Linked DNA regions of Drosophila melanogaster. The protein of the gene in region 4 purifies or fractionates together with the protein of the main gene of each other region. This does not show direct contact. Each region holds a gene or a part of one and is shown on either strand. Other genes may lie near its edges.

Evidence for each region.
Region 1: the proteins of AGO1 (region 4) and RpL22 purify together in Drosophila melanogaster (affinity purification with western blotting; 2 studies listed by BioGRID). This does not show direct contact.
Region 2: the proteins of AGO1 (region 4) and Dcr-1 purify together in Drosophila melanogaster (affinity purification with western blotting; 5 studies listed by BioGRID, with this or other methods). This does not show direct contact.
Region 3: the proteins of AGO1 (region 4) and TER94 purify together in Drosophila melanogaster (affinity purification with western blotting; 2 studies listed by BioGRID). This does not show direct contact.

Annotation. Positions count from the first base shown.
Region 1 is NC_004354.4:761,075-767,794, reverse strand, and holds RpL22 (ribosomal protein L22), read left to right. Parts: upstream 1-2,664; 5' UTR 2,665-2,699; coding exon 2,700-2,711; intron 2,712-2,872; coding exon 2,873-3,493; intron 3,494-3,708; exon of another isoform or gene 3,709-3,853; intron 3,854-3,984; exon of another isoform or gene 3,985-4,354; intron 4,355-4,560; exon of another isoform or gene 4,561-4,712; intron 4,713-4,803; coding exon 4,804-5,070; 3' UTR 5,071-5,235; downstream 5,236-6,720. Other genes in the region: CG5273 (uncharacterized protein), read right to left, coding at 6,434-6,720.
Region 2 is NT_033777.3:22,733,676-22,743,550, reverse strand, and holds Dcr-1 (Dicer-1), read left to right. Parts: upstream 1-2,459; 5' UTR 2,460-2,520; coding exon 2,521-5,154; intron 5,155-5,206; coding exon 5,207-6,815; intron 6,816-6,872; coding exon 6,873-8,968; intron 8,969-9,031; coding exon 9,032-9,442; 3' UTR 9,443-9,544; downstream 9,545-9,875. Other genes in the region: vret (vreteno), read left to right, coding at 1-190, 245-402; CG6985 (uncharacterized protein), read right to left, coding at 554-625, 684-737, 797-1,396, 1,455-2,234; Takl2 (Tak1-like 2), read left to right, coding at 9,726-9,776, 9,844-9,875. UniProt on the Drosophila melanogaster protein: Endoribonuclease which functions in microRNA- (miRNA) gene silencing and, independently of its ribonuclease III activity, also acts in the short interfering RNA- (siRNA) gene silencing pathway.
Region 3 is NT_033778.4:9,987,658-9,995,176, forward strand, and holds TER94 (transitional endoplasmic reticulum 94), read left to right. Parts: upstream 1-2,545; 5' UTR 2,546-2,640; coding exon 2,641-2,732; intron 2,733-2,813; coding exon 2,814-2,916; intron 2,917-3,002; coding exon 3,003-5,039; intron 5,040-5,105; coding exon 5,106-5,260; intron 5,261-5,326; coding exon 5,327-5,420; 3' UTR 5,421-5,902; downstream 5,903-7,519.
Region 4 is NT_033778.4:13,953,998-13,960,626, reverse strand, and holds the start of AGO1 (Argonaute-1), read left to right. Parts: upstream 1-2,537; 5' UTR 2,538-2,665; intron 2,666-3,276; 5' UTR 3,277-3,454; intron 3,455-4,946; exon of another isoform or gene 4,947-5,027; coding exon of another isoform or gene 5,028-5,210; exon of another isoform or gene 5,211-5,218; coding exon of another isoform or gene 5,219-5,412; intron 5,413-5,582; coding exon of another isoform or gene 5,583-5,710; intron 5,711-5,765; exon of another isoform or gene 5,766-5,777; 5' UTR 5,778-5,819; coding exon 5,820-5,940; exon of another isoform or gene 5,941-6,129; intron 6,130-6,181; coding exon of another isoform or gene 6,182-6,327; exon of another isoform or gene 6,328-6,432; intron 6,433-6,601; exon of another isoform or gene 6,602-6,629. Other genes in the region: Rpn13 (regulatory particle non-ATPase 13), read left to right, coding at 539-1,059, 1,229-1,982; CG33155 (uncharacterized protein), read right to left, coding at 5,028-5,210; mRpL53 (mitochondrial ribosomal protein L53), read right to left, coding at 5,219-5,412, 5,583-5,710, 6,182-6,327.

The DNA.
Region 1 (6,720 bases), on a different chromosome or scaffold from region 4:
TACTCCCAGCACAAAGGGAGGGGAGAAGCCTGCAATGCGTACCAAGAGCGTTACATGGGATTATCCCCTGTCTCCTGTTACACCAGCCAAATAAATCTTCGGCTGGCGGGTACGTAAGCACCTGATTCCAAGCTCATTCAGACATTTGGCTAGGCTCCAGGGCGAAACATACAAACACCAAGGCATTCGCGAATCTCCTAATGGAATTAGGTCTCGTTTATATGCACAAATCGTTCAACAGGCCCAATCGAGGGAGCTGCAAGCCTGAATTTAGCCATGGGAGGTTCAGCCTCTATAGGAAGGAGCCCGCACAACAAAAACCCCAAAATTGGAGATTTAAAATAATCTAAAAGGTGGCACGACACAGTGACAAAGCCCTCGATCCGACCTCTGCGAGGGCTTGGCCTACAACAAACTGTTCGCGGCGGAGGGCGCTTAAGATATAATTTGCCATATCTTGGCGGAAGGAGGGGGAGATAGTCCCGCGCAGTGTCGGCGAAGATGTGAGCCGCGCCGGGTGCTAATAAAGTTGCCCGCCAAGAAATGAAGGGCTTTGGGGGAGCTCAATAGGCACTTCCCCCTGCGATTTTCTGCGGCCCGTCTAGGTGCTAATTTAGCGACCTCACAGAGATACAAATCCGCATGCGAACGCAAGGGGTTCCTCAGAATTTCCATTTTCAACCGAAGCGAACCGCAGATAAGGGATAAATGTCAAAATTATCTGCACACTCGCTCCCCACATTAACCCATGCCGTACGCACTATCGTGCAACTGACCAAACCCAAGGTGAAGGAAGGCAATCCTTAAGATCGCGGAAGAATCGTATTTCATTAGTTCATTTATTCGACATAATATTTCGCATTGTATGCTTGAGTTCCCATGGGTTAAACTTCGGGCATGGCCACTGAAGACTGCAGAGCGAGCGAGGATGGGCAGGCAGAGGAGCCGCAGACGAGAAGCAGAGCACATGGGACGGACAAAGTGCAAATATATGTTGTTAGACCACAAAGCCGGTCCCAAAGTCAAAAGCCGAAGGAGGCGGCCAGAAACACAGTAAAAATGGCAAAAAACGAAGAGCATTCCCTCGATATGCCAAAGTGCATCAGGCACTAAAATGCAGAAAATTGAAACGGGCTTTTAATGAAACGAAAGCGCCGCCAGAGATGAGATGCGCGCCTGGCTCGGATGACTGGCTATCTAGCTGGAAGCGGATATCTGGCTCAGACGTCCACTCAAATGGAGATGGAGGCAGCATGGGCAAGTGAGCGCTTACAGGCGAAATAAGACGAACACAAAGAGTCAATTAATTAGTAGATGGATTCACGATTGGCGCTGCATATATAGACACTGCGCTGCAGTCGAAGGTGCGGTTGGGATCACTGTGAAAAATACTTTCGGTTGTCTAGGCCTTTGGAATTCCCTTGCAACATGTTGCCCGCGTTCAGGTAGGAGACCGAAGATACAATCTGCACTTTCTCCCAGTGTCGAAACTATTGCCGAGAGTGGACCTTCTTTTACTCGAGATAAGAACGGGGATTGGGAATAGAAGCTGGGCGTTCATTAAATGATAAGCGAGCGACGGACGGGTCCGTGTGATAAGGCCTTCTGGCCCATCGGGATGGGCCAGGTAAGAAGACTCCATCTGCGACAACGGAGTGAAGTGCGCACAGAGATCAGGACTCTGGTGCCCAGCCAATCTGGGCAGTTAAAAAGCGGCAAACACGGGTCGGAAACAGAAGCGGCAGCGAAAAGTATGACTTGAATGCACGCAATCCCCAGGGCGCCACAAGGATCAAAATGAATTGTTAGTACGAAGTGGGGAATTCATGATTACTGGAAATAGAAATAGAAATAGAAATAGAATACTGGAAATTATGCGAAGCTGCTAGCCGAAAACGGGGCGTGGCGGAGGAACCGGATCGAGATTGGAAGTGGAAGAGGGAAGGGAAAGGGGCAACACGTGGAGCGGGCGCAGGAGGCAATCAATCGGTTTCCTTTTCGGCAGAATGCTCATTATCGCCAATTTGTGGGGGCAACCGCGGGGCGGTTGAAAAGCAGATCTGCACTGAGAACAATGCAATGTCGAACTCCGCAATTGTGATTTTATGCCGCGCAAATGGCGCTGTGATCAGGGTTCCAGCTAAAAATTAAATGCACGTCCCGCGGCTTCTTCTCCTCATCATCCTCTTTGTCTTCTCTTCATCGTTTTTGCTTTTTCGCTGCTTCTTCTCGTCTTGCTCCTCGCCATAGTTTTATGATATATGGTCACAGGGGCGGGCCAATCTCGTGGCACGTTCGGGGTGTTGGTAATTATAGGACTTTATGTCTGGAAGTTTCTTTATGATGGCTTTTACTTTCAAGCGCAATTCGAGGGACGTTAGCGTTGTTGCGGCATAGCAAGGCCTTGTTCGCATATTGACCATAGGTTTTAATATTCGCTGTACGAAAGGCTGTCTGAATAGTAAGAAAACATCATTTTTTTAAGCAGAGTATTCATTTTTTTGCTGAACGCTGGGAACATAACTGCGCATTGGATTGGAACACGGTTGCGGGATAGCGGAGTTCCCAACCCAGGGATGCAATTGCAGCGTGGCTTATCGGAATACGGCGTTGGCGCGCTGCGGCCACACCAACCGTCTCTTCTTCTTGCCGTCGCTTCCGCCTTCTGTTCTTTTTCCTCGTGGTTTTCGACTGACAAGATGGCTCCTACCGTAAGTGCTCCGAAATATGAGTTTCGCGACTGGCCACCGGCGCCCGGGAGCTCCAAGTTGTGTAACTCTGCAGCGGAAAGCCCTAGTCGGTGGCCAGCAGCGAAATATTCCATTTGTCGAATGTGCGTGTGATTTTTTTTGCTTTTTTTTTCGGTGAGCAGGCCAAGACCAACAAGGGTGATACCAAGACCGCTGCCGCTAAGCCAGCGGAGAAGAAGGCCGCTCCCGCAGCCGCCGCCGCCAAGGGCAAGGTGGAGAAGCCGAAGGCTGAGGCCGCCAAGCCCGCCGCCGCCGCGGCCAAGAACGTGAAGAAGGCGTCCGAGGCGGCCAAGGATGTAAAGGCAGCCGCCGCTGCTGCCAAGCCCGCGGCAGCCAAGCCCGCAGCTGCCAAGCCCGCCGCCGCTTCCAAGGATGCCGGAAAGAAGGCTCCCGCTGCCGCTGCTCCCAAGAAGGACGCCAAGGCTGCTGCTGCTCCGGCTCCCGCCAAGGCTGCTCCGGCCAAGAAGGCTGCCTCCACGCCTGCTGCCGCTCCCCCAGCAAAGAAGGCTGCTCCCGCCAAGGCCGCAGCCCCGGCTGCTGCTGCTCCCGCTCCGGCTGCAGCTGCTCCTGCTGTCGCCAAGCCCGCGCCTAAGCCGAAGGCAAAGGCTGCCCCAGCTCCCAGCAAGGTGGTCAAGAAGAACGTGCTGCGTGGCAAGGGACAGAAGAAGAAGAAGGTCTCGCTGCGCTTCACTATCGACTGCACCAACATTGCTGAGGATAGCATCATGGATGTGGCCGACTTCGTAAGTACATGGGGTACACAGATGATCACAAATCTCACCGCTCAGTACCAAGCACTGGTTACAATCTGTCGTTGCTTTCAAGATGTTATGGGGGATGTATTGCCCATTAGTATCTTTCACTGTCTATGGTAAAAGTAGTAGTGTGCCGTCTATAACTATAAATTGTTCTCCCAAAACATTTGAAAGCATTAACCAGATCGAAATCTGTATAGTCTTACCGCACCAAGCTTTCCACTGCCCTCCAAGTTAACCAGGGGCTCTGGATAAAAAGTTGTGGTTATAGTGAGTTCACTCCATTTTGCGATAAACTGCCAGCGGACTTTCCCGTGCCGCCGGCGGTTAACAACTTCTGGAACAACGCTAAATGTAGATGATAGTCATAGGAAGGGTAGGTAGGTGTCCGTTCCGTTTTAAACCAAGTCGAATCTTTCGCTGCCTCATGCGGGCACACGCGTTTCTTCCCAGCGCCTTCCAATCGCGCTTGTAGTCAAGGGGCTCTGGGCACTGCACAACGGGGTAGCCACTGACCGCCAGTGACCTGGCACTGGCCAGTGGTGCAACCGTCTGTGAACAGCGTCAAGCCGTGCTATGTGTACCGCCACGTGGTGGGCCCTGGGTTGAGTGCGACCACATCCGTGGCGCCTCAGGCCAAAATTCATAGTGCGCCCTGCTCACAGTGCCCGCTCTTCCGTGGCACTGCAGGTTTTCCCAACTTGTAGAAGTTAGAATTAGGTGCTTCTTCCATATGCCAAGTGATAAGCCAACTGACTAAGTACCCGCTAGTGGGCAAACCGAGTGCGCTAAACGCGCTTCTCAGCAGGGCGCTGAATAGTTCAAGTGTCGCCTACGTCACGGGATCAGGTAACTACAATCTTATGCTGCATTCACAAACGGGGAATGGAACCACTGGGGGAAAGGTACATAGTCGCATGCATGCGACTGAGTCATTTGACTGGAAACCCCCTTAAGAAGTTTCCTTTACTGGCACGCCGTCCGAAAAGTACCGCACCTATTGGTTCCATGGCCCCTTCATTGGTCATCTATCACCTAGATAAATCTATTTTACAGGCCACGCCGATTTGCCGTCAGAGAGTGAGCTTTATGCGTCGCTCTGATGGCAGTGTACTCAGTGGCAGAGCAAAAAATTGGTCACTCTTCTTTATTTGGGCTCTCTGTTCTACCCACTCGACTCTTAGCCTTAACAAAGAAAGAGACATTTAGCCCAGCTTACCGCTAGCAGGAGCTGCCCCAAAGATCCAGCCCAGTCCAAGCTGAACTAACCCGGAATACCCTCTCTATTCCGCCCGCAGGAGAAGTACATCAAGGCCCGCCTTAAGGTCAACGGCAAGGTGAACAACCTGGGCAACAACGTCACCTTCGAGCGCTCCAAGCTGAAGCTCATTGTCAGCTCCGACGTTCACTTTTCCAAGGCATACCTCAAGTACTTGACCAAGAAGTACCTGAAGAAGAACAGTCTGCGCGACTGGATCCGTGTGGTGGCCAACGAAAAGGACTCGTACGAGCTGCGCTACTTCAGAATCAGCTCCAACGACGATGAGGACGACGATGCCGAGTAAAGATGTAGCTGATCCCTTCAGTGGAATCACTAGGTTTACATTGGTTTTTATTATACATTTCACGCCCTCAAGCGGCGTGTTTTTATAAGCTAACAGAAAGATGTGAACTCATGAAAAAAAGAAAACTTCGGGCTAGCCTCAATAAAACAATTGTGTGTGAACCTTACGACCCCCAAGTCATTTTTATTGTTAGTACAAATCTATCTGGGAGAAAAGACCTATTCAATTTATTTCGCTTGAGAAGATGCGGCTATAATCATTGAAAACGATTTGCCTTCAAAGACATTTGGTTGTGGGCATGTACTTTATATATTTAGACATTTATCCAATCCAACAAATCCGATATCCCCGTCTCGCTTTTTTCCGTGATCGGTTGGTGCTCTTTGTTGAAAGAGTGATGAATACTATTGAATACTATGTGCATAATTTAATTGTTTATATTATCTGGTCATCCACATAATGAACACTACTTGAAACTTAGAAAGACGGAAAGTAGATTTATATAAAGCCAGTCAGTTGGATTGCATCCAATCGAATAATTAAGATGTATGGGGGGTGCTCTTGTCAGCTGTCTACTTTCAGGGCATCCGAGAGTTTACAGATTTAACTAGCTGCAAATCGCAGTACGTTAGTCCGTCTGTGGTTACGAAAGCAGGGGGTCTAGAATAGTCCGGACCACTGGTGTGCTCATCGTTATGCAAGCGGACCATTAACTAGTCAGCTTCCCATTTCGTTTAGGCGTGTGCATCGTGGGCACCGGCCATGTGAAATGAAACTCATACGTGGCGGGTGTTGTAGGTGTAGGCGAAAGCTTTTATTTTATTCAACAATTGAAGAGTGCAACAAATACGTTTGCTCACAGCAATACAAAAACAAGCAACAATTACGCTAACAAGTCTAGAAAAATACACACTTTTAGTGGGAACTTACATTCAGGTTGTCTTTCTTCAGAAGGCTTTTGAGTTGGGTTTGCACATAGGGCTATATAAATGTATATATATATATATATATGTATGTATGTAGTTGCAGAGATATTCGAGCGTTTGCTTTGATTTCGAGCACACTGGGATGGGTCCGGGCCCGGTTACGGTTACGGGGCCCATGCACACCGCAACAATCACAATTGAAGGCCAAATTGGAAAAGGGGGCTTTTTGACTGGGAAGCCAGCTTGTTTATCCACAAATACTGTAGTCGGAGATGGTACGGCATAATTCAAGAGTTTTTGTCCAATTAGCGCCTGGAATTATCGATGTTGGTCAGCGCAAATATGCGCGCCAAGGCCACAACAGCTGGGGAGGAAGGTACAGTAGGTAGTCGGGTAATTGAGTGGGTGCACAGTGGAACGTTCCAGAAGCATGGTCTCTAAAAGCCAGCGAGCCGCTTGGCCACCACTCCGCTCATAAGCACGAGCAGAAGGGTCCGCATGGTCAATCCTTCCAAGGCCCGAGCTCCGCCGGTGTGGGAGCGAACGGATGCCTGGATTGGAGCGGCGACATCCTGTGCCTGCTGCACTTGCTGCACCTGCTGCGATCCTGGTTGATCAGCGGCCATGGGCGCCAGTGGTGCTGGACCCTCGCCGGCGGAAGCAGCTGGTGGCGGGGGTGCCGGGTAGCAGGCAATCTTCTCCACCTCTATCATCTTGGTGCTGT
Region 2 (9,875 bases), on a different chromosome or scaffold from region 4:
AATGAGCTTTGCATAGCTAAGTACGAAGGCAAATGGCGTCGAGGTCTCTCTGTGGAGTTAGTAGGAGATGGTTATCCCAGCATTTTGTTCATTGACTACGGAAACATAGTGCCAACACATGTCACCGACATACGTCCCTATCCGCCGCAGTTTATCTTCCCTATAATGACCACACAGTTGGATTTAATTGGTAATTAGGCTCTCCAAAGATAATTATATTATTTATATGACTCGATTTTCGTAGGAGTGCCTGAGAAGCCCACCGATGAGCAGATCAAATGGCTGGATAAAAATTATCCCATTGGGTCCGTTATCACCTGCAGCGAAATCACTTTCGACGAGGAAACAAATAGCTACTCCACTCGCATTGAAAAACTGCAGGAGTTCTTAAGTTTGGACTAAGTTCTCAAAAGGTTGATTCCGCGAAATAGTTCAGAACTAATTATGGCCAAAAAAAAGCACAAATCTTCCAGGTTAACTCAACTGCTAAGCATTTAGTTCAACAAAATAATTTTGTTTACATTTATATTCTTGAAGTTAACGTTTTGTTTGTTTAAGTTTTTACTCTCACTTTTCTTGAATAAACCAGTTGAATACAATCCAGACTATCCGATATAGCAGTTTCCTGTAAGGTCACATTGATTTACGCAATTTAAGTTAGTAAAATGTAATACAAATCTCACCTCAAAGAAAACACGGTCAAAAGGTGGCTCACTTTTGGTCCAGTCCGCTAGATTCTATAGGTTATCAATGCAATAGGTGATTTATTAATATGATAAGAATTCGAAGTACTCACATTAGATGCGGTCGGTATAAGCTGGCTGCGGCAATTCTGAAGATCTTCTATAGAATCATCACCCATATGCCCATAGAACTGCAACTCCTCCGGAGAACCTCCGGCTGTGATGAGAGTATATATTTTGGTATCCATTGCTCCAACGGCCAGCAGTTGGTTGGCTTGCTGCCTGGAATTGTGATTATAAATAATTAGGTGTTTGCAGCGAAGAGCTCGAAGCGCCGACAAGTCACTGGTCAAAATCAAGCCAATCATTGGTTCTCCATCGGCAAGAGAATTAAATAAGTTCACTTTTTGGGGACCATCTAGCTGCGCATGGTCCAAACTATAACTCTGACAGTATCCCCTGACCAGGGTGAGGCAATCCTCACTGTTTGCCAAGATGCAGCACTTCTCGCCTCGCTCCGCCACTAAGTGATCCAGCATTACGTGTAGAAACTCGAACTTGGCGGAGTCGTAAAGTCCCATGCTTGGCCAAGGCGGCAGTATGGCGTCCAGTACCTCCATTATTTCCTTAAACACTGGATTCGTACCCAAAGTTTTTAGGAGCACAGGATGATCACATACAATTTGGAAGATTTCCTTCAACGTAGACGATTCCTGAAATACAAGTTTTTTGATTTGTTTATGCATGTAAATTGGTCTAAATCTATCTTACTGTTTTAGATGTTTGTGCATATTCAGAAACAAAGAGTAATATTTTTTTCTGCAGTTCAGCTGGAGTTAATAGACACAGATATTCCGATTGGGTGAACTCCTTGGTAGGGTTTTCTATCTTCAAAGTGTTTTGTTCATAGATTTTCTTTCCCATCGAAGTGCTGGAATCGGCGGCTGCATAGGAGACATGTTTATCTTCTCTATGTTGGCTAATTTCCAAATGCGGTGGAGCAAAGGCATCTGCCTCGCGCTTGATCTTCTTGAGCAGATGAGACCTAACGGGTGCACTGTCAGCAGGTGGTGGCGATGTGTCTGTACAACCATTCTGGGCATCTATTTTTTGGCACCAGTTGGCTATTTCCAACTGGCGCTGAATAAGGCACTCCTCGACGGTTTTAATCTCCTCCTGAATCTCGACATCCTTGCTGCCTACTTCCAGCTGATCGTTCTCCTGAAGTTGCCGCTGCTTAAAGTATGTCATGGTGTCCACAACCTTGCCGGTGTCATCCTTCAATGTTACTATGGATCCCGTGACCACCAGCGTTCCGTTGCCAGTCCACGTTTTGTGCTTTTTGGTGGTCTGATTACGCCAGAGCACATGGAAGATGCGGCTATCTTTGAGGGGATTCTCGCCCGCCCTGAATTCTCGAGGTCCCAGGCTTTGGGTGCCCCCTGAGGTGCCCCATTCGCTGGGTAGATTGTTTTTGGGCCAGGAGCAGGGTGACTGTGGTTCCTCTTTGGGAGGCGCCGCTTCGCTCTCTCGCTTTGCAGCGCGGCGCATGGAAGGAGCTTTGGAACGCCGCTTTATGGTGCTAAAGAAGAGGATTACCGGGTATAGTTCACCGTAAATACATAAGTTAATTTAAAAACTTTTGCTATCAACAAAATATAAATATACAAGGCGCAATCTATTTTCAAGCCACTTGTAAGTGTGGCCAATGAAGTGAACCTCGAAAGGTATTCCGAACCCTGGTCACACTGGCATTCTGCTGGTAGCCGGCTCTGGATGATTTTCTGATAGAAATCTCGCAGAGGCAGTGGTGTTTTTGTGAATCCCCTCAGCCACGATGGCGTTCCACTGGTGCGACAACAATCTGCACACCACCGTGTTCACGCCGCGCGACTTTCAGGTGGAGCTACTGGCCACCGCCTACGAGCGGAACACGATTATTTGCCTGGGCCATCGAAGTTCCAAGGAGTTTATAGCCCTCAAGCTGCTCCAGGAGCTGTCGCGTCGAGCACGCCGACATGGTCGTGTCAGTGTCTATCTCAGTTGCGAGGTTGGCACCAGCACGGAACCATGCTCCATCTACACGATGCTCACCCACTTGACTGACCTGCGGGTGTGGCAGGAGCAGCCGGATATGCAAATTCCCTTTGATCATTGCTGGACGGACTATCACGTTTCCATCCTACGGCCAGAGGGATTTCTTTATCTGCTCGAAACTCGCGAGCTGCTGCTGAGCAGCGTCGAACTGATCGTGCTGGAAGATTGTCATGACAGCGCCGTTTATCAGAGGATAAGGCCTCTGTTCGAGAATCACATTATGCCAGCGCCACCGGCGGACAGGCCACGGATTCTCGGACTCGCTGGACCGCTGCACAGCGCCGGATGTGAGCTGCAGCAACTGAGCGCCATGCTGGCCACCCTGGAGCAGAGTGTGCTTTGCCAGATCGAGACGGCCAGTGATATTGTCACCGTGTTGCGTTACTGTTCCCGACCGCACGAATACATCGTACAGTGCGCCCCCTTCGAGATGGACGAACTGTCCCTGGTGCTTGCCGATGTGCTCAACACACACAAGTCCTTTTTATTGGACCACCGCTACGATCCCTACGAAATCTACGGCACAGACCAGTTTATGGACGAACTGAAAGACATACCCGATCCCAAGGTGGACCCCCTGAACGTCATCAACTCACTACTGGTCGTGCTGCACGAGATGGGTCCTTGGTGCACGCAGCGGGCTGCACATCACTTTTACCAATGCAATGAGAAGTTAAAGGTGAAGACGCCGCACGAACGTCACTACTTGCTGTACTGCCTAGTGAGCACGGCCCTTATCCAACTGTACTCCCTCTGCGAACACGCATTCCATCGACATTTAGGAAGTGGCAGCGATTCACGCCAGACCATCGAACGCTATTCCAGCCCCAAGGTGCGACGTCTGTTGCAGACACTGAGGTGCTTCAAGCCGGAAGAGGTGCACACCCAAGCGGACGGACTGCGCAGAATGCGGCATCAGGTGGATCAGGCGGACTTCAATCGGTTATCTCATACGCTGGAAAGCAAGTGCCGAATGGTGGATCAAATGGACCAACCGCCGACGGAGACACGAGCCCTGGTGGCCACTCTTGAGCAGATTCTGCACACGACAGAGGACAGGCAGACGAACAGAAGCGCCGCTCGGGTGACTCCTACTCCTACTCCCGCTCATGCGAAGCCGAAACCTAGCTCTGGTGCCAACACTGCACAACCACGAACTCGTAGACGTGTGTACACCAGGCGCCACCACCGGGATCACAATGATGGCAGCGACACGCTCTGCGCACTGATTTACTGCAACCAGAACCACACGGCTCGCGTGCTCTTTGAGCTTCTAGCGGAGATTAGCAGACGTGATCCCGATCTCAAGTTCCTACGCTGCCAGTACACCACGGACCGGGTGGCAGATCCCACCACGGAGCCCAAAGAGGCTGAGTTGGAGCACCGGCGGCAGGAAGAGGTGCTAAAGCGCTTCCGCATGCATGACTGCAATGTCCTGATCGGTACTTCGGTGCTGGAAGAGGGCATCGATGTGCCCAAGTGCAATTTGGTTGTGCGCTGGGATCCGCCAACCACATATCGCAGTTACGTTCAGTGCAAAGGTCGAGCCCGTGCTGCTCCAGCCTATCATGTCATTCTCGTCGCTCCGAGTTATAAAAGCCCAACTGTGGGGTCAGTGCAGCTGACCGATCGGAGTCATCGGTATATTTGCGCGACTGGTGATACTACAGAGGCGGACAGCGACTCTGATGATTCAGCGATGCCAAACTCGTCCGGCTCGGATCCCTATACTTTTGGCACGGCACGCGGAACCGTGAAGATCCTCAACCCCGAAGTGTTCAGTAAACAACCACCGACAGCGTGCGACATTAAGCTGCAGGAGATCCAGGACGAATTGCCAGCCGCAGCGCAGCTGGATACGAGCAACTCCAGCGACGAAGCCGTCAGCATGAGTAACACGTCTCCAAGCGAGAGCAGTACAGAACAAAAATCCAGACGCTTCCAGTGCGAGCTGAGCTCTTTAACGGAGCCAGAAGACACAAGTGATACTACAGCCGAAATCGATACTGCTCATAGTTTAGCCAGCACCACGAAGGACTTGGTGCATCAAATGGCACAGTATCGCGAAATCGAGCAGATGCTGCTATCCAAGTGCGCCAACACAGAGCCGCCGGAGCAGGAGCAGAGTGAGGCGGAACGTTTTAGTGCCTGCCTGGCCGCATACCGACCCAAGCCGCACCTGCTAACAGGCGCCTCCGTGGATCTGGGTTCTGCTATAGCTTTGGTCAACAAGTACTGCGCCCGACTGCCAAGCGACACGTTCACCAAGTTGACGGCGTTGTGGCGCTGCACCCGAAACGAAAGGGCTGGAGTGACCCTGTTTCAGTACACACTCCGTCTGCCCATCAACTCGCCATTGAAGCATGACATTGTGGTAAGTACTTGTAATACGAATTATTTAAGATTTGTTAAATACTCTTCTTTAGGGTCTTCCGATGCCAACTCAAACATTGGCCCGCCGACTGGCTGCCTTGCAGGCTTGCGTGGAACTGCACAGGATCGGTGAGTTAGACGATCAGTTGCAGCCTATCGGCAAGGAGGGATTTCGTGCCCTGGAGCCGGACTGGGAGTGCTTTGAACTGGAGCCAGAGGACGAACAGATTGTGCAGCTAAGCGATGAACCACGTCCGGGAACAACGAAGCGTCGTCAGTACTATTACAAACGCATTGCATCCGAATTTTGCGATTGCCGTCCCGTTGCCGGAGCGCCATGCTATTTGTACTTTATCCAACTGACGCTCCAATGTCCGATTCCCGAAGAGCAAAACACGCGGGGACGCAAGATTTATCCGCCCGAAGATGCGCAGCAGGGATTCGGCATTCTAACCACCAAACGGATACCCAAGCTGAGTGCTTTCTCGATATTCACGCGTTCCGGTGAGGTGAAGGTTTCCCTGGAGTTAGCTAAGGAACGCGTGATTCTAACTAGCGAACAAATAGTCTGCATCAACGGATTTTTAAACTACACGTTCACCAATGTACTGCGTTTGCAAAAGTTTCTGATGCTCTTCGATCCGGACTCCACGGAAAATTGTGTATTCATTGTGCCCACCGTGAAGGCACCAGCTGGCGGCAAGCACATCGACTGGCAGTTTCTGGAGCTGATCCAAGCGAATGGAAATACAATGCCACGGGCAGTGCCCGATGAGGAGCGCCAGGCGCAGCCGTTTGATCCGCAACGCTTCCAGGATGCCGTCGTTATGCCGTGGTATCGCAACCAGGATCAACCGCAGTATTTCTATGTGGCGGAGATATGTCCACATCTATCCCCACTCAGCTGCTTCCCTGGTGACAACTACCGCACGTTCAAGCACTACTACCTCGTCAAGTATGGTCTGACCATACAGAATACCTCGCAGCCGCTATTGGACGTGGATCACACCAGTGCGCGGTTAAACTTCCTCACGCCACGATACGTTAATCGCAAGGGCGTTGCTCTGCCCACTAGTTCGGAGGAGACAAAGCGGGCAAAGCGCGAGAATCTCGAACAGAAGCAGATCCTTGTGCCAGAGCTCTGCACTGTGCATCCATTCCCCGCCTCCTTGTGGCGAACTGCCGTGTGCCTGCCCTGCATCCTGTACCGCATAAATGGTCTTCTATTGGCCGACGATATTCGGAAACAGGTTTCTGCGGATCTGGGGCTGGGAAGGCAACAGATCGAAGATGAGGATTTCGAGTGGCCCATGCTGGACTTTGGGTGGAGTCTATCGGAGGTGCTCAAGAAATCGCGGGAGTCCAAACAAAAGGAGTCCCTTAAGGATGATACTATTAATGGCAAAGACTTAGCTGATGTTGAAAAGAAACCGACTAGCGAGGAGACCCAACTAGATAAGGATTCAAAAGACGATAAGGTTGAGAAAAGTGCTATTGAACTAATCATTGAGGGAGAGGAGAAGCTGCAAGAGGCTGATGACTTCATTGAGATAGGCACTTGGTCAAACGATATGGCCGACGATATAGCTAGTTTTAACCAAGAAGACGACGACGAGGATGACGCCTTCCATCTCCCAGTTTTACCGGCAAACGTTAAGTTCTGTAAGTTATTTAAATCCCTTGCTAAGGATCAGAAATAATCCCTAATACATCTTACAGGTGATCAGCAAACGCGCTACGGTTCGCCCACATTTTGGGATGTGAGCAATGGCGAAAGCGGCTTCAAGGGTCCAAAGAGCAGTCAGAATAAGCAGGGTGGCAAGGGCAAAGCAAAGGGTCCGGCAAAGCCCACATTTAACTATTATGACTCGGACAATTCGCTGGGTTCCAGCTACGATGACGACGATAACGCAGGTCCGCTCAATTACATGCATCACAACTACAGTTCGGATGACGACGATGTGGCAGATGATATCGATGCGGGACGCATTGCGTTCACCTCCAAGAATGAAGCGGAGACTATTGAAACCGCACAGGAAGTGGAAAAGCGCCAGAAGCAGCTGTCCATCATCCAGGCGACCAATGCTAACGAGCGGCAGTATCAGCAGACAAAGAACCTGCTCATTGGATTCAATTTTAAGCATGAGGACCAGAAGGAACCTGCCACTATAAGATATGAAGAATCCATAGCTAAGCTCAAAACGGAAATAGAATCCGGCGGCATGTTGGTGCCGCACGACCAGCAGTTGGTTCTAAAAAGAAGTGATGCCGCTGAGGCTCAGGTTGCAAAGGTATCGATGATGGAGCTATTGAAGCAGCTGCTGCCGTATGTAAATGAAGATGTGCTGGCCAAAAAGCTGGGTGATAGGCGCGAGCTTCTGCTGTCGGATTTGGTAGAGCTAAATGCAGATTGGGTAGCGCGACATGAGCAGGAGACCTACAATGTAATGGGATGCGGAGATAGTTTTGACAACTATAACGATCATCATCGGCTGAACTTGGATGAAAAGCAACTGAAACTGCAATACGAACGAATTGAAATTGAGCCACCTACTTCCACGAAGGCCATAACCTCAGCCATATTACCAGCTGGCTTCAGTTTCGATCGACAACCGGATCTAGTGGGCCATCCAGGACCCAGTCCCAGCATCATTTTGCAAGCCCTCACAATGTCCAATGCTAACGATGGCATCAATCTGGAGCGACTGGAGACAATTGGAGATTCCTTTCTAAAGTATGCCATTACCACCTACTTGTACATCACCTACGAGAATGTGCACGAGGGAAAACTAAGTCACCTGCGCTCCAAGCAGGTTGCCAATCTCAATCTCTATCGTCTGGGCAGACGTAAGAGACTGGGTGAATATATGATAGCCACTAAATTCGAGCCGCACGACAATTGGCTGCCACCCTGCTACTACGTGCCAAAGGAGCTAGAGAAGGCGCTCATCGAGGCGAAGATCCCCACTCACCATTGGAAGCTGGCCGATCTGCTAGACATTAAGAACCTAAGCAGTGTGCAAATCTGCGAGATGGTTCGCGAAAAAGCCGATGCCCTGGGCTTGGAGCAGAATGGGGGTGCCCAAAATGGACAACTTGACGACTCCAATGATAGCTGCAATGATTTTAGCTGTTTTATTCCCTACAACCTTGTTTCGCAACACAGCATTCCGGATAAGTCTATTGCCGATTGCGTCGAAGCCCTCATTGGAGCCTATCTCATTGAGTGCGGACCCCGAGGGGCTTTACTCTTTATGGCCTGGCTGGGCGTGAGAGTGCTCCCTATCACAAGGCAGTTGGACGGGGGTAACCAGGAGCAACGAATACCCGGTAGCACAAAACCGAATGCCGAAAATGTGGTCACCGTTTACGGTGCATGGCCCACGCCGCGTAGTCCACTGCTGCACTTTGCTCCAAATGCTACGGAGGAGCTGGACCAGTTACTAAGCGGCTTTGAGGAGTTTGAGGAGAGTTTGGGATACAAGTTCCGGGATCGGTCGTACCTGTTGCAAGCCATGACACATGCCAGTTACACGCCCAATCGATTGACGGATTGCTATCAGCGTCTGGAGTTCCTGGGCGATGCTGTTCTAGATTACCTCATTACGCGGCATTTATACGAAGATCCCCGCCAGCATTCTCCAGGCGCATTAACGGATTTGCGGTCAGCACTGGTGAATAATACAATATTCGCCTCCCTGGCTGTTCGCCATGGCTTCCACAAGTTCTTCCGGCACCTCTCGCCGGGCCTTAACGATGTGATTGACCGTTTTGTGCGGATCCAGCAGGAGAATGGACACTGCATCAGTGAGGAGGTGTGTTAAAGGAAAGTCACCAATAATACGACAACTAATTGTAATATTCTTTCTTGCTTTCAGTACTACTTATTGTCCGAGGAGGAGTGCGATGACGCCGAGGACGTTGAGGTGCCCAAGGCATTGGGCGACGTTTTCGAGTCGATCGCAGGTGCCATTTTTCTCGACTCAAACATGTCGCTGGACGTGGTTTGGCACGTATATAGCAACATGATGAGCCCGGAGATCGAGCAGTTCAGCAACTCAGTGCCAAAATCGCCCATTCGGGAGCTCCTCGAGCTGGAGCCGGAAACCGCCAAGTTCGGCAAGCCCGAGAAGCTGGCGGATGGGCGACGGGTGCGCGTTACCGTGGATGTCTTCTGCAAAGGAACCTTCCGTGGCATCGGACGCAACTATCGCATTGCCAAGTGCACGGCGGCCAAATGCGCATTGCGCCAACTCAAAAAGCAGGGCTTGATAGCCAAAAAAGACTAAGAAGTCATCGCTGCAATCGTGTTTCATTAGATTTAATGATTATTTTTTTAGACATAAGAACTTTAATTGTACAAATCTTAAATAGATTGTCTATGGTCGAATAACTGTGCAGAATTTCCTATCTTCTTTTATACCTTGCATTATGAGGTATTATTGCAGAGGAAATCGATGTTGATAAGATAAGAAATCGTCATCAAACGAAAGTCACTGATAAGCTAATCACACCTTAAATGCTTAACCTTTCGCGAACTAAACTCAGTGAAAATTTGCCATTTGATAAGAAATGTCCGCTCCTGTAGAGGGTGTTCCCTATGAGGAGATCCAGACAAAAGAGGTTTGAGATTATCCACGGCCAGCTGGATTGGATGGCATTATAAATTCAACGTGCAATTCCATTGCAGCTTATAGGCACCGGATTCTATGGCAGCGTATA
Region 3 (7,519 bases), 4.0 Mb from region 4:
GAAGACAAGCAGAGGGACTGCTGCAGATTCCGCTCAATAAACCTCCAATAAAGCGAATCCAGCGTGAGGCGTCGACGTCTAATTGCTGTTAACTCGTCAACTAGGAGAACGCTCCATCCTCGCCGTTGTGCGGCTCCTTGGACGCCTGATTAAACGGATTGGAGATGCGAGGTGTACAGTCGAGCCTCCGTAAGGGCAACCAAAAGTAAAAAACATCGACTATTTGAAATACAAAGTTTTATATGTACATATAATTTATCAGGCTCCGGATGTAACTTAATTAAAACATTTCCTTTTCATAAAATATTGCTAGCTGATAGCTGCTCAAAAGAACAATAAAGGTAATAAATTATGTTTGCTTGCAAACAATTTTCAATCAAAAAAGTATGCGTTCCATCTTAGTTAATAATTAATTACCTGGATAAAGACTTTTGAAACATATCATAGCGTTTCTTTGCATATTCAATACTAACCAATTTTTTATAAATGGAGTTACACCGTTTGTCGTCTTGTCAAGTAGTATCTTCACAATAAGTATAATACAGAATCAAGATAGTAAAATAAAACAAAAAATCGTGTGAATAAATCAGAGCTAAAGACGTCGGACTGTACAGCAGAGTTTGGTGGAAAAGAGAGAAAAGCGAGGAGAGCGCTGTTTGCATCATACACCGCAATGAATGAGTGCCCCATAATTGTGACTTTGGGTCTGAGGCGGTTCCGCTGCCCTGCCCCCCGCTCTTCGCTGCTTCCTGCGCCGCGGAAGGCGACGGCCATCTTTATCAGCCACCCCGACTCCCCACTCCTCTTCATCGTCACCCTCATCGTCACAAAAACTGGTTTCCGCTCGCCACTTTCTTTTGCTCTCTGCGCAGGCGCTCTTCGAAGACAAGAGACTTGCAGGCGATTGGTTGAATTCGTTCTGCGTTTCTATGGAGTTTGCTCCCATTCTTTTGGGGGCAGCGACCACGCCCAATGACGCTGCTCTCCTCTCTGCCGACGTCGCTGTCACTCTCTTAAGTACTAAAAAATAAAACTGAAAGTAAAGCTAAATAAAACGCTGCCATAATTGGCATCGTTAATGCCAAAACCATGAATACTAAAAAGTTTTTACGAGCATAAGCTGCGATTGAGCAGTTATTGTAGGGACAGGTTGATGGCCGAGTGTTCTAGGGAAATGAATGAATGAAGATTTTTTCTTACTACCAAAACTTCTACAACTAAGTGAAATAGACGGATTGAGTTCTACATACTTCCTACATATATTTTAGATATAGACATAGCCGAAAAGTATGCTGCACTTTTTCAATAAAAACGTAAGCAGCTACGTTATCACGCATGGCTTCATAGCAGCGATCATCTGCCAGCGAGCATAGCCAAGTTAGGCACCTGCACACATTGCCACTCTTTCCTTTAGCGTTGCCACTTCAATTTCTTTTACAAACCATCGCAGCGTGTAATCGATATTTTCTAAGCCCAATCGATGAATGTCCGGTAACGCACATCACCAATCTGTTTCTGCTGCCTCATCTTTGAATTTGACTAAAAGTGCCGATTTCCAGCTCAACGAATAGTCCAAGTCGCGCCGAATTGTACAATTAAGTTAAAAAGTTCAACGTCAACTAGTTTATCATGGCAGATTCCAAGGGGTAAGTGAACTGGACGCCGAAATAGGCGCCGACTGTGTCGGTCCAAGTCGAAATTCACAAATTTCGCTCAGTCATTGAGCCGAAAAAAATACGCAAGGGCCACATCGCAGACATACTATTATTTAATTGTGAAAGGCTTTCGCCGATTTCCGCGAGACAAAGACATTTACCGCGACTTTTCCACTGCTCGGTTGCAAAATGTTGCGAAACTAGGGCAAACCTAAAAACCGAAGAAAAAAAAACGCCAGCGAGAATCGCCATTTGCAGTACGTTGTTGTTGTTGTTGGTGTTACTGCCCTTGCAGTTGTTGTTGCCGCTTGAAAACTTACGATTTCCCTTTGTTGTCCCAAAAATACAAGTCATCCTTTGCTGGAGGATACAATTTTCCGGTTGTTGTAGTTATAACTTTGGATACGAAAAACAATACTGCATACATATATGGCAGCTATTTCTATAATAAATCGCGAAAATCCTAAACTATATGCCGAAACCACTTATTTCAATGCTACCTATTAGTAATACCTTTTTTGATATTGCATTAATTCTAGAAAAGTCTTTGTGCTCCCTCAACTCGCCAGAAGTAAAAAAAAACATATCGTTTAAGTAACAATAAATGCATAATTTACCTCAAAGTTTAGAAATTATTATAACAAATGGCGCCAAAAAAGTTGGCATCGAATACAAGAAATACAAACATACTTTTATAACTAAAGACAATAAACAATTGTACTATTATTCCGATTAATATAGATTTTTATGAACGATATAGGGTGATAACCTTTTATGTTCAAAAATCTATCAATAAAGATTGATCGACATCATCACGTTAGCAACGAAAAATGATTCGGCAGGCCTAATTATCCAGATGCTTAGTTCCATTCCGTATTACTAGTGAAAGTAGTTTCCATAAATTTATCAAAACTAACAAAAAAGGCAATCCAAAAAAACAAAAAAAAAAACAAAAAAAACAATGTCTGGCGGCAAGAACGATAAGATGGATCATGATGGGGATACGAGGGACTTTATGCGGGGATATCACAGCGAGCAGGATGAGAAAATGAAGCCGAAAGACTCGTTCGATAAGCGGTTAGGCCAAATTATATATAAGACATAAGATATTTCTTTAGCGACGAGTCTTACGCGATGCTTTTTTCTTCTACCCTACAGTGAAGATCTGGCTACGGCGATCCTGAAGCGCAAGGACCGTCCCAACCGACTGATTGTGGAAGAGGCGCAGAATGACGACAACTCTGTGGTGTCGCTATCGCAGGTAAGATTCACTCTCCCAAAGGCCACGTCATCGCATGGCTAATTCACATGACTTGGCTGTTCTTTTTCCCCCTTAAACTATATCAGGCGAAGATGGATGAGCTGCAGCTCTTCCGTGGCGACACCGTGATTCTGAAGGGCAAGCGCCGAAAGGAGACGGTGTGCATCGTGCTCTCGGACGACACCTGTCCCGACGAGAAGATCCGCATGAACCGCGTGGTGCGCAACAACCTGTGCGTCCATCTTTCAGATGTGGTTTCCGTGCAGTCCTGCCCGGACGTCAAGTACGGCAAACGGGTGCGCATCCTGCCCATCGACGAAAGCACCGAAGGCGTTACCGGCAACCTGTTCGAGATCTATCTGAAGCCGTACTTCCTAGAGGCCTATCGGCCAATCCACATGGGCGACAACTTTATTGTGCGCGCCGCCATGCGTCCTATTGAGTTCAAGGTGGTGCTGACCGACCCGGAGCCCTACTGCATCGTAGCTCCCGAGACGGTAATCTTCTGCGACGGTGATCCAATTAAGCGCGAGGAGGAGGAGGAGTCCCTAAACGCCGTTGGCTACGATGATATCGGTGGTTGCCGCAAGCAGCTGGCCCAGATCAAGGAGATGGTTGAGTTGCCTTTGCGGCATCCATCGCTCTTCAAGGCCATTGGTGTGAAGCCACCGCGTGGTATTCTTATGTACGGTCCCCCGGGTACCGGTAAGACCCTGATTGCCAGGGCTGTGGCCAACGAGACCGGAGCCTTTTTCTTCCTGATTAACGGACCGGAGATCATGTCCAAACTGGCCGGAGAGTCGGAATCGAATCTGCGCAAGGCCTTCGAGGAAGCCGAGAAAAACTCGCCGGCTATCATCTTCATCGATGAGATCGACGCTATTGCCCCCAAGCGTGACAAGACCCACGGTGAGGTGGAGCGTCGCATTGTGTCGCAGCTTTTGACCCTGATGGATGGCATGAAGAAGAGCTCCCATCTGATCGTTATGGCTGCTACCAACAGGCCCAACTCCATTGACCCGGCCCTGCGTCGCTTTGGACGTTTTGATCGTGAGATTGACATCGGCATTCCAGATGCCACTGGACGGCTGGAGGTGCTGCGCATTCACACCAAGAACATGAAGCTGCATGATGATGTTGACCTGGAGCAGATTGCTGCCGAATCCCACGGACATGTGGGCGCTGATCTGGCTTCACTCTGCTCTGAGGCTGCCCTTCAGCAAATCCGTGAGAAGATGGACCTCATCGATTTGGAAGACGATAAGATCGATGCCGAGGTGCTGGCGTCGCTGGCCGTGACAATGGAGAACTTCCGCTACGCTATGACCAAGTCCAGTCCATCGGCGCTGCGTGAAACTGTTGTTGAGGTGCCCAACACCACCTGGACAGACATCGGAGGTCTGGAGAGCGTCAAGAAGGAATTGCAGGAGCTGGTGCAATACCCAGTGGAGCATCCGGACAAGTTCTTGAAGTTTGGCATGCAGCCCAGTCGCGGTGTCCTTTTCTACGGACCCCCTGGTTGCGGTAAGACGCTGCTGGCCAAGGCCATTGCCAACGAGTGCCAGGCGAACTTCATCTCAGTCAAGGGTCCCGAACTGCTGACCATGTGGTTCGGCGAGTCTGAGGCCAACGTGCGCGACATCTTCGATAAGGCCCGCTCGGCGGCTCCTTGTGTGCTCTTCTTCGACGAGCTGGACTCGATCGCCAAAGCCCGTGGCGGTAATGTCGGCGATGCTGGCGGCGCCGCTGATCGTGTGATCAATCAGATCCTTACCGAAATGGATGGCATGGGAGCCAAGAAGAATGTGTTCATCATCGGAGCCACCAATCGCCCGGACATTATCGATCCGGCCATCCTCCGTCCGGGCCGTCTGGATCAGTTGATCTATATTCCGCTGCCCGACGACAAATCGCGTGAGGCTATCCTGAAGGCTAACTTGCGCAAGTCGCCGCTGGCCAAGGAAGTAGACCTTACCTACATCGCCAAGGTGACGCAGGGCTTCTCTGGCGCCGATCTGACCGAGATCTGCCAGCGGGCTTGCAAGCTGGCCATCCGACAGGCCATCGAGGCTGAAATTCGTCGCGAGAAGGAGCGCGCCGAAAATCAGAACTCCGCGATGGACGTAAGTCATTTAGCTTAGCGCAAAAAATAAGAATGTTTATGTTTGACTATTTACCCATATAATCAGATGGACGAGGACGATCCAGTGCCGGAGATTACTAGCGCCCACTTCGAGGAGGCCATGAAGTTCGCTCGCCGTTCGGTGTCCGATAATGACATCAGGAAGTACGAGATGTTTGCCCAGACTTTGCAGCAGTCCCGTGGATTCGGACAGAACTTCAGGTGAGAATTGAAAGGCATTTCTTGTTGGAATCCAGGTTACTGATGATAGTGTATATGTTATTGCAGATTCCCCGGTCAAACCGGCAACACCTCAGGATCTGGTAACAACTTGCCAGTTAACTCGCCCGGCGACAACGGCGACGATGATCTTTACAGTTAGATTTCTAGTTTTACACCGCAAAACAAAACCACAAAATGGAACTTTTTAAATGAATTTTTTCCGTAAAACCGAGCAAGCAAAACCAATCACATTCGCATCCTGGACGCGGTAACTTACTACAGCAACCATTGGCTAAGACATCCAGCCGATGGCGAAATCAGATGACATACCCGATTCAATATTCACTTCTTTGATACCATCCTTACTCTTGGTCGCGGATACGTGCAGTAGGAGAAGGTTCCCATTTGGATTTGGGCTCGCCTAATCCGAAACCATTTTAATTGGCGAACTATTCCGCGCCTCACACTAATCATTCGTGCATTGTCGGTAGAGTGGCTCCGATATATGAGTTTCTATAAACATAATTATTAACGATACACATACACACATACATTTAAAGATAAATACATATATTAAACACCGTAAAATTATAAGTGTATTTGGAGCTACATTTTTAAGTGAATAAAAATTATAAATTCAACAAAATCATGTGCTTTAAATTGAAGAAATATTGAAAAATAGACGCAACGAGGTAATTGGGTGTTGAGATTAAAGAGCAAGAGTTACATAATCAATTATTTATTTTTGATAAGGTTCACTAGCAAAGTGGAACGTTGCTTTATTTTAACTGATCATTGGCCACAGTGCAATAAAATGCGTAATAAATTAAATTGGTCGGTACTCGTATGAGTGCAGTGAAAAAATATGTCTTCGTGCCTCGATTTCTGCAAGTCCAATTTAGTCATCAAGAGTACTAACCAAATCCATACTGTTCCCATTTGAAAATATCATTTCATTTGTTTTATCGCATTTATTAAACTTGTATTAATTCGTCATGTTTGCTTTTTCTGGTTTTCAATTGTTTTTTCACTTTTATTTTTATTAATTCTTTGCGACATAACAAGGACATCTTAATATGAAGTTAGTTGAATTCTTTCATATTTAAATAATCATTATCGCTTCGGTCTTATAAATAAACTTTCTTTGCCATTCTTTTAACCGCTCGTTAATTAAATCAATGTTTTGGCATCGGTAAATGATAATAAGGGAAATAATATTAATAATAATGTTAATGGCAAAAGCAGGAAACTTTGAATTTGATTGGCTTTTTAATGCGTTATTGCAGCTTCTTCGGCGCTTAATTTAAATGAAATGTGTGCTTCCTTTTCTCTCAGTGTCTACACCTTCAATTCTGCAAATATGCTTTTGTTTTGTTTAGTAATACATACTCTTTATTTGTTTTTCTTTTCTTTTCGTTTGTATTTGTTTTTCTCTTATATTTTTGTTACACATACATAATTAATACGCTTTATGCATAATTACAACACAACAGTTAAAATACGAATAGGCTTTACTATTTTTGTATTTAATGAACTCTTTCATCTGTGACTTTAATTTGAAGTTTGCGCATTTAGAGCTTGTCATCGGTGATTTCAACGATTTTTTAAATATTCTTTTATTTTTTTGAGCTTTGCTTGATGACAGTATTCAACATGGCTTGTGTGTGTGCGTGTGTGTTGTTGTATTGGGTGGAGTGTGTGTGCGTGTTGTGGTTGTTGGTTTGTGGAAGAAAATGGCCAGCACTTTCTGCACCTTAATTAATTTCTATAACTTTAATCGCTTGATATAATTGTTATTATTTATGTTTTTCTCGAACTCATCTCCTCGCGTTCTTTTTGTTTCGAAAATTTCCAAGAATTTGTTGCTTTAAAGTCTTGAACATAGACTAGACACCAATTAAGATTAAAAACATACTTTTATATACTTTAGTTGTATTATTCCATGCTGGCAATTTTAACTTCTTGCAGCAGCCATACAATTTTACACATATGATATTTTCGGTTTCTTTATATGTAGTTTCTTTTAGCTTTGAACACCTGTCGACTGTTGGTATGCCAGTTGAATTGTTTTAATTTAATTTAATTTAATATTATACCTACGTATTTATGCAAGTTCATTGATTATCCCTCTACGATTTGTTTAGTTACGCTGTTTGTTCAAAACAATACGGTTACACTCATATAAAGTAGTTGGAGTCGTTTAGATTTAGATTTAGGTTTAGGCGTTACCATAGTTTAAGCTCATTCAGTTATATAAAT
Region 4 (6,629 bases):
CGGCTTATCGATAACAGCGTGGGCAGTGATGCAGTTCTTGTGTGTAAAACGGCCAAATTCAGTCGCTAAATCGAAATAATTGGTCAGCCTAAATATATGCAAGAGCTTTTTAGTTTATGTTTATTTAATAATGAGTGTTAAATAACTAAAAACTATACCTCTCTTGTTACTTTTGCAATCGAAAGATTTCTAAGTCACTCAACGAACTCAATTTAAATTATACAACAAATGTCTAAACTGAATTTTGTTCAACAGTGTTTTGAAATACTAAATGTTAGAATTCACCCGTTGATGGTAACACTGCTGAGGTAAGAAGAAGACAAATTTTGCTCGTCATTGGGAATTGACGATTCACTGAATTTTTGATAAACTCAACAAAGTAAACGCATTATATATCCCGTAAGTAGTGCAGCGACTACTAATAACCCCAAACCGATCACGGCACCATAAAACACTTTCGAGTTATGCGCCAAAGAAAGTCGTAATTACAATACGTTCTTCATCCAATCTTCGCCAGCTCTCAAGAAGCACCCGCATCATGTTTGGAAGACAAAGTGGACTGGGTAGTTCCAGCAACAGCAGCAACCTGGTGGAGTTCCGCGCAGGTCGCATGAACATGGTGGGCAAGATGGTGCATCCGGATCCGCGCAAGGGCCTGGTCTACATGACCCAGAGTGACGATGGCCTGATGCACTTCTGCTGGAAGGATCGCACCTCCGGCAAGGTGGAGGACGATCTCATCGTCTTCCCCGATGACTTCGAGTACAAGCGCGTCGATCAGTGCAAGACGGGCCGTGTCTATGTGCTTAAGTTCAAGTCATCGACACGCCGCATGTTCTTCTGGATGCAGGAGCCCAAGACGGACAAGGACGACGAGCAGTGCCGCCGCATCAACGAGCTGCTGAACAACCCTCCATCCGCCCACCAGCGCGGCGGCGGCGGCAGCAACGACGGCGACCTCCAGTACATGCTCAACAACATGTCGCAGCAGCAGCTGATGCAGCTCTTCGGCGGCGTTGGCCAGATGGGTGGTCTCAGCTCGCTGCTGGGCCAAATGAAGTGAGCATTTAAACCCTTGCAGCCATAGTGTCCAAGAACTAGTCAAGTAGATAGCTTCTTAACTTACAGGGTATCGTTTTTATTGTTTATAAGCATGTAATCGAAGGAATGAAGCCAGAACTTGAGTTCACCCCCTTTTTCAATATTTTCCTTTCTATATTCTCCGCAGCTCCCGGACGCCCTCGTCGCGCAACACCTCCTCATCGGGTGGCGGTGGGGCATCGGCCTTGCAGACGCCCGAAAACGTCAGTGTGCCGCGCACTCCGAGCGCTCCATCGAAATCGGGCAGCAGCCGCAGCAGCAGCAATGTGAACTCGCAGGTCGGCGAAGGTGCCGGCTCCTCCGTTGATGCGGATGCCCCCGGTAAGAACTCAACCACATCGACCACAACGGCGTCAAAATCGACCGGAGCCTATGCCAATCCATTCCAAGCCTACTTATCCAATCTCTCCCCCGAACATGGCGCAGGACGATCCCTGAATATTGACCTATCGACGGCCCTACCCGGCGCCGATGCCATCAATCAGATAATTGCCGATCCGGAGCATGTCAAGACGCTGATCGTGCACCTGCCCGAGTCGGAGGATGTGGACGATGATCGCAAGCAGCAGATCAAGGACAATATCACCTCCCCGCAGTTCCAGCAGGCTCTGGCCCAGTTCTCCAGTGCCCTGCAATCGGCCCAGCTGGGACCTGTGATCAAGCAATTCGAGTTGTCCAACGAAGCAGTGGCCGCCGCCTTCTCTGGCAATCTAGAGGATTTTGTGCGTGCTCTGGAGAAGAGTCTGCCCCCCGGTGCCACCATGGGTGGCAAACCCTCCGCCAGCGAGAAGAAGGCCAGCGATCCCGAAACCCCAACTTCAGTGGCCCGCGATGAGAACACAGATCCCGCTACCGAAAAACAGGAGGAGAAGCAAAAGTAGCTTACGTGTGCGGCTTGGTAGTCATTGATATGGAATCCGAAAGCAAATTTTTTCATGTGCTGAGTGATTTTTGGATGCTAAATAAATTCAAATGGGAGTTAATCGGTAGTTATCTATCTAATTGTGTGTTTGATATACATCAAAACGGCTTATTAATTTATATTTAAAATATTACTACTTTAATAAAAGGATACGCGTTTTGGTAAGTACTCGTCCAGCTCTTTTCAGAATGCATCATTATACTCATTATACTTGGGTTTTTGGCTTACCTAATTTAATTTAAAAAAACAAAGTCTAACGTGTACAATTTATTTTAAATTTTGAAGTTAATAATGGGGGGATATATGGAAGTAACGGTAATATTAATCCCGACAAGGTCATTTTGTTGGTGTCCCCCTAACAAAAGCTCGCTGCCCCGCTCTCTCATCGCAACACACTGGTCGTCCCTTTCTGGCGCGAATTGCGCGCTCTCTCAGCGAGAGCCGTCTCACACAGATATATACACACACAGGCACACGCAACAATATTTATTTTATTCAATTCCAAAACGGCCAGCAAATAAGTTGTGTTTGTGCAAAACTCGCGCGTTCGCAATTTTCCGAAGCTGACTCTCAATTCTCATACATAACGATCTCAAGCGATCTCCGCCAGGCGAATCAAACCCGGATATATCCAGATCTGCAGTAATTGCCATATTTTTTCGCCAATTTTTGCGTTGCGGGCTGGATGTTTTTGTATCTGTTGTTGTTGGTGCTTTCATTTTGCAGCAATCTCTGTGCCTGTGTGTGTTTGTGTGTTGGTGCTTTTGGCGGACGTGAGAAGGTGTGTGTGTCTAGTGGCAGCCTGTATGTTTTTTTTTTGCATGACTGCTTCGCGGAGCTGTGGGGAAAGCTTTTCCCTCCAAAGTAGTTGTCATAAAAAAGTTAAAAGCCGCGGCAAAAACAAAAATCAAAGCAAACACAGAAAGCGCGAAGAGAGAGGGCAGTGAGACAGAGAGAGAGAGAGTCGAGTGCCTAACGCACACCGACAACCTTTGACTCACACGCACACACACGCGCGCTGTTAAACAGGCCTGGAAGCTTGCAAAAAATAAAACTAAATAAAATAGGAGCTGCTTAAGAGTGTGTGTTGTCAAATAGCAAAGTAAACAAAAAGCTCCCCGGACTCGCAATTTCATGCATATCTCCGGCGCAACGATCTGGCAACACTAACAACAACAGCAGCCGCACAAACTGCGTTTTAACCAATTCCATTTCCATTTCCTGCACTTATCTTTCTCGTTTCTTCCAATTAGCGCTGGAAAAGTAACGTCCGCAACGGTTTAAATCCAGTCGAGACGCAAACCCCACTCAACTCCTTAATGAGTTCCCCTCCATTAAACGGAATTCACCAAAAAAAACGATTGATTTGCCGCTGATAAAGCTGATAAAAGCGCACACACACACCAAAGTCAGCTGCAATTTTGCGATAAGGTAAGTACAAAATTATGAATCTTTCAATTTGCCGGCAAATGGAGGCTTCCAGAACAGCTGCAGGAGCTGCAAGTAAAATGGAAGTGCCCCAAAATAAAAAAAAAAAAAAAACAAAAATACAGGAAACCAAAACACTAATGGCGCCTGAGCATATGCTTTGGGAAATTTTCAAGAGCGCCAAGCGTGTGAGCGCGGGGGTGCGAGAGGGACGACCGTACAGACAGTGTTTATGTTTTGGTAGAAAGGTCACATCCTTAGCTTCCAATAGAACTTTCGTTCGTTAATATCCCCGCCATCCACGTCCCTCGCGAATTACGTCACGAATCGACGAAGAAGTTCGTGTCGACAGGTTTACATGCTCTTGAACTTTTAACAAACTAATAATACCCTTTTATACAGTTATTGCGATAGGATTATATGATCCAATCCTAAACCGATTAAAATCTTATCAAAACATTGGGGAGTTAAAATTTATATGAGTTACTAACTTATAACAAAAACCAGTAATTTAAAACCAATTTGTAAGGACTTATGCTATAATTAAACAAAGCTTTTTAACGTTTCTAGCGACATATTAAAAAAAGGTTTTATAAGTATAAAAAACTTATCGGTTTCAAAAACTTAAATTTGCTATGTTATTAATGCGCAAGCTCCAATTTGCAATCTTATGATCGAAGCTATAATACCTCGTTCGCAACTTCAAAATTTAAAAGTGGGTGGTGAAAGTTTTTACGACGTGACTCCTTCAAAACGGCTGGCGAACAGGCGGGGAGAAAGCTTGCAGCCTGACATTGAACTTGGGGGCACTCTGAACAGAATTCTATTAATCACAGGGTGCCGCAGCTTTTTGGGGCAACTTTCACCAACCATTTTTGCAGCTGCCACACTCCAACAGATTGTTGCCAGTTGCAGCCATCGATTTCGTCGCAAATACGTACATATTCACACATTTAGAGCGCGCCATTTCAAAACTTTAGCTCAAAGCTTGAACTGCACAGTGCACTTTCTTCCTTGCTCCCCCATTAGAATAAGACTTCAATTCATCTCAACAGCTGTCTTGGCAACAGAGAAGCTTTCTCCACTGCCTGTTGCATCCTTGTTGTCATTACAAGAATGCAGATGATCATTCACTTGGAGCAGTAACAAATTAATGCCACAATTCATGAACAAGTCTGTAGTGGTCCACCCCAGCCACGTCCACCGTCCACTTTGCATGGCCCATTTGGTCGACTTCCTGCGGTCCAATTACCATTGGCTCCTCCCGCCCCATTGTGATTATAAGCTTTGGGACGGCAGGCGGCTCTCCGATCCGCTGACATCAGCAAGCGCAGCAAACAGCAGCCGCTGCAGCAGCAGCAGGAGCAGATGATTTTCCGGTTTGCCAGGGACCGAAAAACTGGTTTCGAATGGCGAAAAAAAAATGAAACAAACGACAGGCTGACCGAATCGAATCGAGCGCTGCCCTTTTGCACAGTCGGGCCAAAAAGACAATACAGTGCGGAGTGTTTGTTACATGTTAGAGCGTATATATATTTTGAAAAGTACGTGTGCGGAATTGAACAATACAATTGGCTTAGAAATCGACGGGCTTGATGGTGATGAACCGGGAGAGAATGAAGGCCACCAGAATGGTGGCGCACACGAAACAGAAGGCGAACATGTAGAAGCTCTCCTCGGTGAAGATGTCGGAGAATGCGGGTATATCCTGGTAGATCTTCTCGATCACCGCCAGTGTTCCTTTGTGCTTCCTCACCATCCTGATGGTTACTTCTTCTTGGTTGCCTTCTTTCCGCCGCCGGCGCCTCCTGCTAGTTTCTGTTTCTCCGCCTTGGTCAGGACCTTGTTGGTGATCTCCTCGCGCGGTGCCAAGCTGGACACGTGCTTGTTGCACAGCTGCAGCAGCTCTAGTGTGTTTAGGTTATCGCTGTTGAAGCGGATCTCCTTGACTTGGGCTTGTTCTGTGAATGATATAATATCAATAAGTGTTTGCTCTTTGAATGTTGCAGTTTCAAAAGGGTTAACTTAGTTGCCCACGCTAAAAGGAAACCAATTTTTCAATACATATTTCATATGTATTTTGGTTCCTTTTAGTTAGATATTTCAGCTGTCCCAGTTTAGGTATTCTTACCTTGCGCTGAATCAATCAGGGCAAACTTGATGTTGGCCGGCTGGCGATCGCAGACGATTTCTGGCTTGACCACGCACTTGGGATTCGTAGCTGCCACTTTGGGTGTGGAGAGCAGGAAGAGGAATTCCCTGAAATTAGAATTGAAATAGATATCTAGATTATTGATTTATCATCACGATTTACTTGATTTTTCAGGAGCAGCGACGCCGCCTCAAACTGACGCCGACACCGACTAAAATGTCCACGGAGCGTGAGCTGGCTCCCGGTGGGCCAGCTCAGCTCCATCCGCACACGCTGCCGCTGACTTTTCCGGATCTCCAGATGACCTCCACCGTGGGCATCATTGGGAAAGTCTACGGTGAGTGTGGCACGCATTTATTTCATTCCCCAACCCCATCACCTTTTTAGCCCTCGAAGGATCGGTTTTTCTGGTGTGAATACTTCACTGCACCCTTTTTGGTTTTTCTCAGTTTCTTCTTAGTATGATTTTCTTTTTCCTTTCGGTTTCGTGAAAATTCTATCCAATTTGAGTGGTGAATAGGGGGTGTAGTGCGCATGTCCCGCTATCGATATCGGTGAAAAGCGCTTTTCCGACTCACCGTGTGGACTTGACATTTTCCGCGAATGGATCGAACTGCACGGTTATCCGCTTGACGCCCTTCAAATTCACGCTCTTCAGCTGCTTGCCAATGGCGGACACAATGCCGCCGGAACGCCGCAATGCGCCACTGAAAGGCACAGACATTATTTATGTTTTTTTCACGGCGGCAATGAAAACTCTGCGGTTTTTCCGCACAAAATTTACGACGTAACAAACACGCTACGTAACAGCTGAGCGACGATAGCGATAACGGGCCCACTCACGATGACCGCCGATGGTTGTACAACACTGGCATTAGCAACCCTGCCTCGCTATGCCCAGATGCTGCTTGTATAGTCATCTCGCTCACTCGCACGGCTGCGGGCGAGAGTGCTTTGCCCTCATTTAAGTGTGGTTAAGAGTGTACAGCATGCGTCACGCTCACACGTCGCGAGTACAATTTTTGT